2 linked regions of the Kluyveromyces lactis genome follow. The protein of the gene in region 1 interacts with the protein of each later gene in a pairwise test. Links are inferred from orthologs where the notes say so. Each region holds a gene or a part of one and is shown on either strand. Other genes may lie near its edges.

The links.
Region 2: the proteins of YME1 (region 1) and MGR1 interact in binary tests that used the Saccharomyces cerevisiae proteins (3 or more experiments, as listed by UniProt). The link is inferred for Kluyveromyces lactis from reciprocal best matches to the Saccharomyces cerevisiae genes YME1 and MGR1.

Annotation. Positions count from the first base shown.
Region 1 is NC_006041.1:606,583-611,063, reverse strand, and holds YME1 (i-AAA protease YME1), read left to right. Parts: upstream 1-1,567; coding exon 1,568-3,877; downstream 3,878-4,481. Other genes in the region: condensin subunit BRN1, read left to right, coding at 1-1,140; TFIIH complex kinase subunit CCL1, read right to left, coding at 4,302-4,481. UniProt on the Saccharomyces cerevisiae protein: Catalytic subunit of the mitochondrial inner membrane i-AAA protease supercomplex required for mitochondrial inner membrane protein turnover. The protease is probably ATP-dependent. Important to maintain the integrity of the mitochondrial compartment.
Region 2 is NC_006039.1:81,425-84,591, forward strand, and holds MGR1 (Mgr1p), read right to left. Parts: upstream 1,884-3,167; coding exon 735-1,883; downstream 1-734. Other genes in the region: EMC1 (Emc1p), read right to left, coding at 1-401; protein disulfide isomerase PDI1, read right to left, coding at 2,286-3,167. UniProt on the Saccharomyces cerevisiae protein: Component of the mitochondrial inner membrane i-AAA protease supercomplex required for mitochondrial inner membrane protein turnover. Together with MGR3, functions in an adapter complex that targets substrates to the i-AAA protease for degradation.

The sequences.
Region 1 (4,481 bases):
AAATCGTATGGCGATGCGAGCGTACTCGATCAAGAGTTACTATCTTACTTTGACGCAGCGATAGGTCAGAATTGGAGGGGTAGAGAACACTGGAAGGTACGAAACATCAAGGATAAACTTAGCAAGGAGTCTGTGGCCAAACCACAGCAGCCAACTGAAGCCGATGGGAATCATGAACCAGCAGTTGAAAAGAAGGTACCCAAAAAACAGTTTGAGATTGATTTCTTGGATCTGAATGATAACATTGAAGAAGAAATATTTGCAAATAAAAAGGGGTTCATTGATCTATCAGTGAAACAAAGAACAAATGATTCACATTTCTTACTACCGGACGACTATAAATTCACAACGGATAAAATCACAAGGCTCTTCATTAAGCCCGAGCAGAAGATGAGTTTCTTTTCACACAGGAGGATCAGTAAAGCCAGGTTACCTGGGTCCCTGAAATTTGATGATACCGAAATCAAAGAAGTGAGTAATATTCCGGAGATTGCAGACGAACGCTTTTGGGCTGAAAACTATCAACTGCATGAAAGGGAAGAAGAGCACAAGCAAGATGACACACAGATAGAAAGATCAACCAATCCATCGTTTGAAGAGGATAACGGCATTGACTTCAACCAAGCCTTCGAAGATGAAGATTTGGATATGGATACAAAAGAAGATTTCGTAAACACGCAAGGATTAGTTGCAAATAATAAAATGACCTACTCCAGAACCTCCAAAAAGGTAGATGTGAGAAAATTGAAGAATAATGTGTGGAAGTCAATATGGCAACGTTTACATGTACTGAAGACAGACGAACAAAATGGGGAAACTACTCGGAATGAGGAAACTACTCAGAATGATATCGAATCAGAAGCACATCTGACCGAAGAGAAGCAGGGAAAGCAGGATATATCAGCAGAAATATCAACAAAAGCAGAGGGCTATGACTTGAAATTCACCGATATCGCTCACGATATCGTGAACATGTACACTTCAAGTGCCAAAAAGGATCTCTCAACCAGTTTCTGCTTTATCTGCCTTCTTCACCTCGCTAATGAGTATGGATTTACGATTAACGACACTACAAACTACCAAGACTTGGACATTCGGTTCCCTGAAAAGATTGCAGACGCAATTATTGGCAAGGAGTAGCCGAACTATAGCCGACGTAATTATTTTGTTTGTATATAGAAGAGTATTGATCACGTGATGTTCGTCTAAAAAGACCTCGTTCCTTTTTATTTTTCTGGCACTTTCGAATCGGATTTCAGCTGTTACGTAGAGTTTCTCCCTAATGAAATGCAACGCCACCCGGACGAGCGTTCATCAGCTTCCAAGAATTTGTTGATAATGTTGAAATTTGAGTAAATTGAGCATTTGTCAAATTTAAAGGTTTTTATTTTCTTTAGAATGAGGATATATATGGCTATGATTATTCGGGTCATTTAGAAGGCAACGAAAGAGGCAAAAGGCTTTTAAGAATAGTGAACAAAGGAAGCAACGAAAAAGTTGTATATACCAGCTCAGGTACTTTGAAAAAATCACTTTTACGGTGTACTTATTAAGTGTTAAAGGCTAGATGACGCTTCCGGTGTTGATTGGTGTTTCTGGTTTGTGCGCCAAGAACGCTTCTCGAGTGTTGATTCGTCAAGCCCCTGTCTTGACAGGGCCAATTTTAAGGACTTTGCATAGAAAGCATTTTCTTACAGGCAGCGTGCTACAAAACAGATTATATTCGGACAAGAACCAAACAGGCAAGGATCATAATGGTGTTACAGGTTCTCAGCATTCGGAGGACTCGAAGAACACTGTAAATGGGGCAACAAGTGGTGCAGAAAATGTTCAGCAGCCCAAGCAACTAAACGGGATTAATTCGAGTGATATTGATCCGGCAAATGGACCTGTATCACACGCTGTTTTGGCTACTAAGGAACAGCAAGCTAATAAAGATTTGTCTAACCCAAGTGCGCAAGCGGAGTTCTATAAACTTCTCTTGAAATCGAACTATCCGCAATACGTTGTTTCGAGATTTGAAACTCCTGGTATTACTTCATCGCCTGAATGTATGGCTTTGTATATGGAAGCTTTACAAAGGATCGGTAGGCACGCTGATGCTGAGTCTGTGAGGCAGACTTTGTTGACGACTGCTCCAGCTGGAAGTATTCCTCCTGCCGTGGCTTCATCTGGTGCTTCTTCCGCTGCATCGGCTAACGGTGCTGCTGCCCAAGTTACTGGAGGTGTTTCATCTGGTTATTCTGGCATCTATAATCCGTACATGGGATCCAAAAAGGAACCTCTACATGTTGTTGTCACTGAATCCACATTCTCTATTGTTTCCAGATGGTTAAAATGGTTGATCGTATTTGGTGCAGTTACATACGGTTTGACTGAAGGTTTCAAATACATTACAGAACATTCAACCCTCTTCAAGACAAATGAAGTCGCCGATAAATCTGTGGATGTTGCAAAGACTAATGTAAGATTTGATGACGTGCGGGGTTGTGACGAAGCTAGAGCTGAATTGGAGGAAATTGTCGATTTCTTAAAAGATCCTACCAAATACGAATCCTTGGGTGGTAAGTTACCTAAAGGTGTTCTATTGACCGGACCTCCAGGTACTGGTAAGACTTTATTGGCAAGAGCCACCGCCGGTGAAGCTGGTGTTGACTTTTTCTTCATGTCAGGGTCAGAGTTTGACGAAGTTTATGTAGGTGTTGGTGCCAAGCGTATCAGAGAGTTGTTTGCACAGGCCCGCGCTCGTGCCCCTGCTATTATCTTTATCGATGAATTGGATGCTATTGGAGGTAAGCGTAATCCCAAAGATCAAGCTTACGCAAAACAAACTTTGAATCAATTGTTGGTTGAATTGGATGGGTTTTCCCAAACAAGCGGTATAATTATCATCGGTGCCACTAACTTCCCAGAATCATTGGATAAGGCTTTGACAAGACCAGGTAGATTCGATAAGGTCGTCAATGTTGACTTACCTGATGTTCGCGGGCGTGCTGACATTTTGAGACATCATATGAAGAAGGTTACTGTTGCTCCTGATGTGGACCCAACTATCATTGCAAGAGGAACCCCAGGTCTTTCTGGTGCTGAGTTGATGAATTTAGTTAACCAAGCCGCCGTATACGCTTGTCAGAAAAATGCTATTGCTGTCGATATGCAGCACTTTGAATGGGCAAAGGATAAAATCTTGATGGGTGCTGAAAGGAAAACTATGGTTCTCACTGAAGCTACTAAAAGAGCCACCGCTTATCATGAAGCCGGGCATGCATTGATGGCACTGTACACTGCCGGGGCAACGCCATTATACAAAGCAACTATCTTGCCAAGAGGCAGGGCATTAGGTATCACTTTCCAACTTCCTGAAATGGATAAGGTGGACATCACTAAGAAAGAATGTCTAGCTAGGTTAGATGTGTGCATGGGTGGTAAGATTGCAGAAGAACTGATTTATGGTAAGGAAAATACTACCAGTGGTTGTGGTTCGGATTTACAAAATGCTACCAACACTGCTAGAGCAATGGTTACTCAGTACGGTATGAGTGAACAAGTCGGACCAGTAAATTTGGCTGATAAGTGGGACTCATGGTCTGGAAAAATTCGTGACGTTGCTGATAACGAAGTACTTGAACTTTTGAAAGCTTCAGAAGATAGGACGAGAGCCTTATTAGCAGAAAGGGAAAAGGAATTGCATAGATTAGCTCAAGGATTAATGGAATACGAAACATTAGATAGTACCGAAATTCAGAAGGTATGCAAAGGAGAACCTATCAATAAAATGAAAATGGCCACTACTACGGTGGTTGAAGGACCAGACAGCGATGATCGTAAGGAAATCGGCGGTGATAAATCAAAAATTCCGGTACTGATTAAAGCATGATCAGACGCAGAACTAAAACGTCATTGGATACGGACTCCTAGCATTACACCATTGATTGAACATTTCACCGACCATCTTTCTGTATCTGCATTTGACCTGTTTGAAGAACCCCACTACAATGGTTATGTTGCAACTTGTACAGAATACCCAAATTGAGTGGTTAATTTTAAAAGTGTTATATGAAATTACAGATCATAGCATTTTCACATAATAAAGCATAAAAGCATTGACGTGTCTTGTAAATATAACATTGGCCGGCCTTCTTGAAGAAGCGGCAGTCACTACTTTACCCCTGTCGAAAGACTATAAATGAAGATAATAGTTCTCTTCGCAAGTATATATGCATATTTGTATAACAATTATTCGTATGAATGAATGAACTTTAGGAAGTTTTCATTGAGAACTCTACTTAACTTGTATACTACTACACTTTCAACTTTTTAGAATCCGGTTCCGTTGTAAGCTCAGCGGAGCTATCACGTTGTTGCTTTTGTCTGCGCATCCTATCTACCAGCAGCATTGGATTTTGGCAGTAATGCAATTTTGCGTCAATTTTAGTTGCCTCTTCTTTGGAAAGTGTTTCAACGTTCAAAATCATCGCCTG
Region 2 (3,167 bases), on another chromosome or scaffold:
ATATTAAAACGCAGTGTATTGTTATTCAAGGTAACAGATTGAATGTCTAGTTTCCGACATTCAACTTGGCCTGAATGAGTTGACTTAGGGAAACCTGTCAAACTATCCAAAACTTGACCAGTATTCAAGTGTATATTTCCATCCACAACTTTCATGGCAGCAACAGAGGCATCCTGAACGAACCTTTCAACTATATTTCCTGAAGCCGCATCCAAAAGTGAAATTACAGGGATGCCAGTGGGAGTCTCCCCTAAGACCACGAATGACGAGTCTGATTTGTCAATACATTTGATATCACCTAGGTTTTCGATTTGCCAATCCACGTGAAACGCTTCATCATTAAATACAGCCCCTGTGGATTTAAGCAGAAGTACCCACAACGTAAATATAAGGGTTAACATGATTTGATTCCGTTATGGCAAGATCGAAGGTCCAGTGTATAAACTTTAACTAATTCTTTACTTGGACACTAGTTTAGGCTTATTTTATTCGAAGGCTATTGTTGGTTTCTTTGAAATAATAATAATAATCGTAGTAAAAAATGGTTACTACAGTGGGAAATATGTCGTAGCTTTCGTAACACAAACAAGGAAACAAAAAAAAGGCAGTATGAGAGTCTCGATATAGCTATATATCGATTAAATTTGTACAACGATTCTTATATACAGTTTGAAATCATGAATTGAGTCAGTTATTTTTTCTGTTAGTGTAATACAAACGTGTATGATATTCAATTATGGCTTTCTCTCATCTTCGCTATTCTCTATGGAAGTAACATGCTCTGAATCTTTGAGTCTTTTCTGGTGTTCATAATAGTCTTCATTAAAAATGACCGAAGGAAAGAACTTAATGCTTAATGCGGTGTCTAATGCTAAATTTGTCCAAGGATTGTAAATAGCCCATATTTCAGTTAGTGGGATATCATTTGGTGATTCTGTATCATGATGCAAGAGAACTTTTCTAATTGCATATATGTCCTGCACTTCTTGATTTGTTCTGATAGCCCGTGCCGGAGCATGAGCCATCAATGTATGTATTCTCTGTCTATTGCGCTTGTTTTCTTCTTCTAATTTTACCAATTGAGAATTTATCTTATCGTTCTTCTTTTGACGTCTGAGATTGTTGAGAAAATCAGTCATATTCAGGTAGTATTCTAGTTTGTCTAAGAATTCAGAGAATGACTGTGGTTTATAATCCAACGGTCCGAACCATTTAGTTACCAAATTCTCGGCCTGCGCTTGTGCTCTCGCTACGGCGATACTTTGCTTCACCTCTGGTAAGTTAAGGGAAATTGACTGTCCTGATAATTCATCCTTGGCCTTGAATTTCGTTGAATCAACTCCCTCGTGATAGTATTTGACGATGTCATTGAAAAACTGCTTTTCACGAACTGATTTTGCTTCTTCTACCCAGGGATCGTATTTGAGAAGGGTCAATCTTGAAACCTCTAACATAGACTGCGAGAGTATTAGAGTCCCCGCTAATAAATAAGTAACACGTCTAATAGTTCTAAATCTCTCTGAATACCAAAAACCGGTACGTGTACCAACTCGAATATTGAAAGAATGTGTTCCCCCGAATTGAACAGGAATATGTCTAGTCATGTACATATCACCGTGTGTGGTACTGAATCTATTCAAACTAGGAAAATCGGCAATATCTCGTTTCACCCATTTCTTTCCCAATTTTCTAAACCTTTGCATTAGAAATAACCCAAGTCCTGTTTGAATTGCAACTAATGACCACAATCCTGTTGTGTTATCCGAACTAGGCACTAATGGTCCCCATAGTTTCAATCCCAGACTTGGTCTTGTATAAAACTTGGGGTCATTGCCAACAGGCTCAGAATTATCTGACTGAGTTCCGGATGTATATATAGCCATCTACTTCGCAATTCTGTCCTTGCTGCTTGTTCACTTTGTTTGAACCTTTAGTAATCCGATACGTGCTCTTCGAGTTGTCTTATGTTGGCCCTCGTCCCGGTTGGAAAATGTGATTGGCAACGTAGTTGGTGATACTTTTTCGGAGTTAAGTCACGTGATTAAATTTTATTGCTTGAAATAAAGATGAATTCAAACCCATTTAGAGACGATATGCAACACATGACGCCGAGAAGGAAGAATAGCATGAAGGGTTTTCATAAAGTATATGCAATACCGGATAAATCTATTATTCAAAGGTATACTACATATGTATAAAATATCGATACCAACTTTTGTTGATGTTCGAGGTTAGAACTTTTACAAATAAGAGGTAGTAAAATGGGTTACGAGATATGGGTTTATTTACAATTCATCTTGCTCTAGTTCAGAATCTTCTTCAGCCACTTCTTCAACTTCCTTCGCCTTTTGTGCTTCTTCTTCTTCTTGTTTCTTCTTCTCCACTTCAACTAAGTATTCTTCGTAAAGGGCAAGGCCATCAACACCGTGAGAACCGTTTTCCTTGATGAAGGCTAGGAAAGCTTCGGCAGTTCTTGGTCCCTCGAAAAGAATTGGTTCAGTTTCTTCACCGGCTGGCCACAAGTATAAGACTGGGAAACCTGGGATTTCGACAGATTGAACGTCATTGGCAGTAGCATCGATCTTGGCAATCAAGACCTTATCTTTCAATTCGTCATTTTCATGAGCAAATTCAGCCATGCTTTCATAAGTTGGTGCCAACTTCTTACAATGACCACACCATGGAGCGTAGTACTCAACTAAAACATCCTTCTTTGGATCACGGACAATTTCTTCATGGTTTTTACCAACAATCTTAAAGACAGAGTTTTCTTGGATTTCTGGAATTTCTTCACTTTTAACAATAGGTTCCGCCTTACCTTCCAAGAAATCTTCAACAAACTTGGTGATTTCTTCAGTGGCTAAAGTGATTGGTTTTTCCAAAGCCGCGAATTCTTCATCAGCCAATTGTGGCAAACCGTACTTCAAGTCCTTAATGGTGTCATGGATGGCAAACAATGGGAATTGCTGCTTTTGGTTCAAGTTCTCGGCGTGTCTACCGAATTTGGAAGCATCCAAACCAGCAAAGTTGACCTTACCTCTGAATTTCTTAGCCAAGTCAACAAAGTGAGATTCGTATTCTTCACGTTCTTCTGGGGAAGTGTAGAAGAAGTATGCCAAAGGCACCTTGACAGCCATATAAGCTTGGTAAGTTTCACCGTTAACATC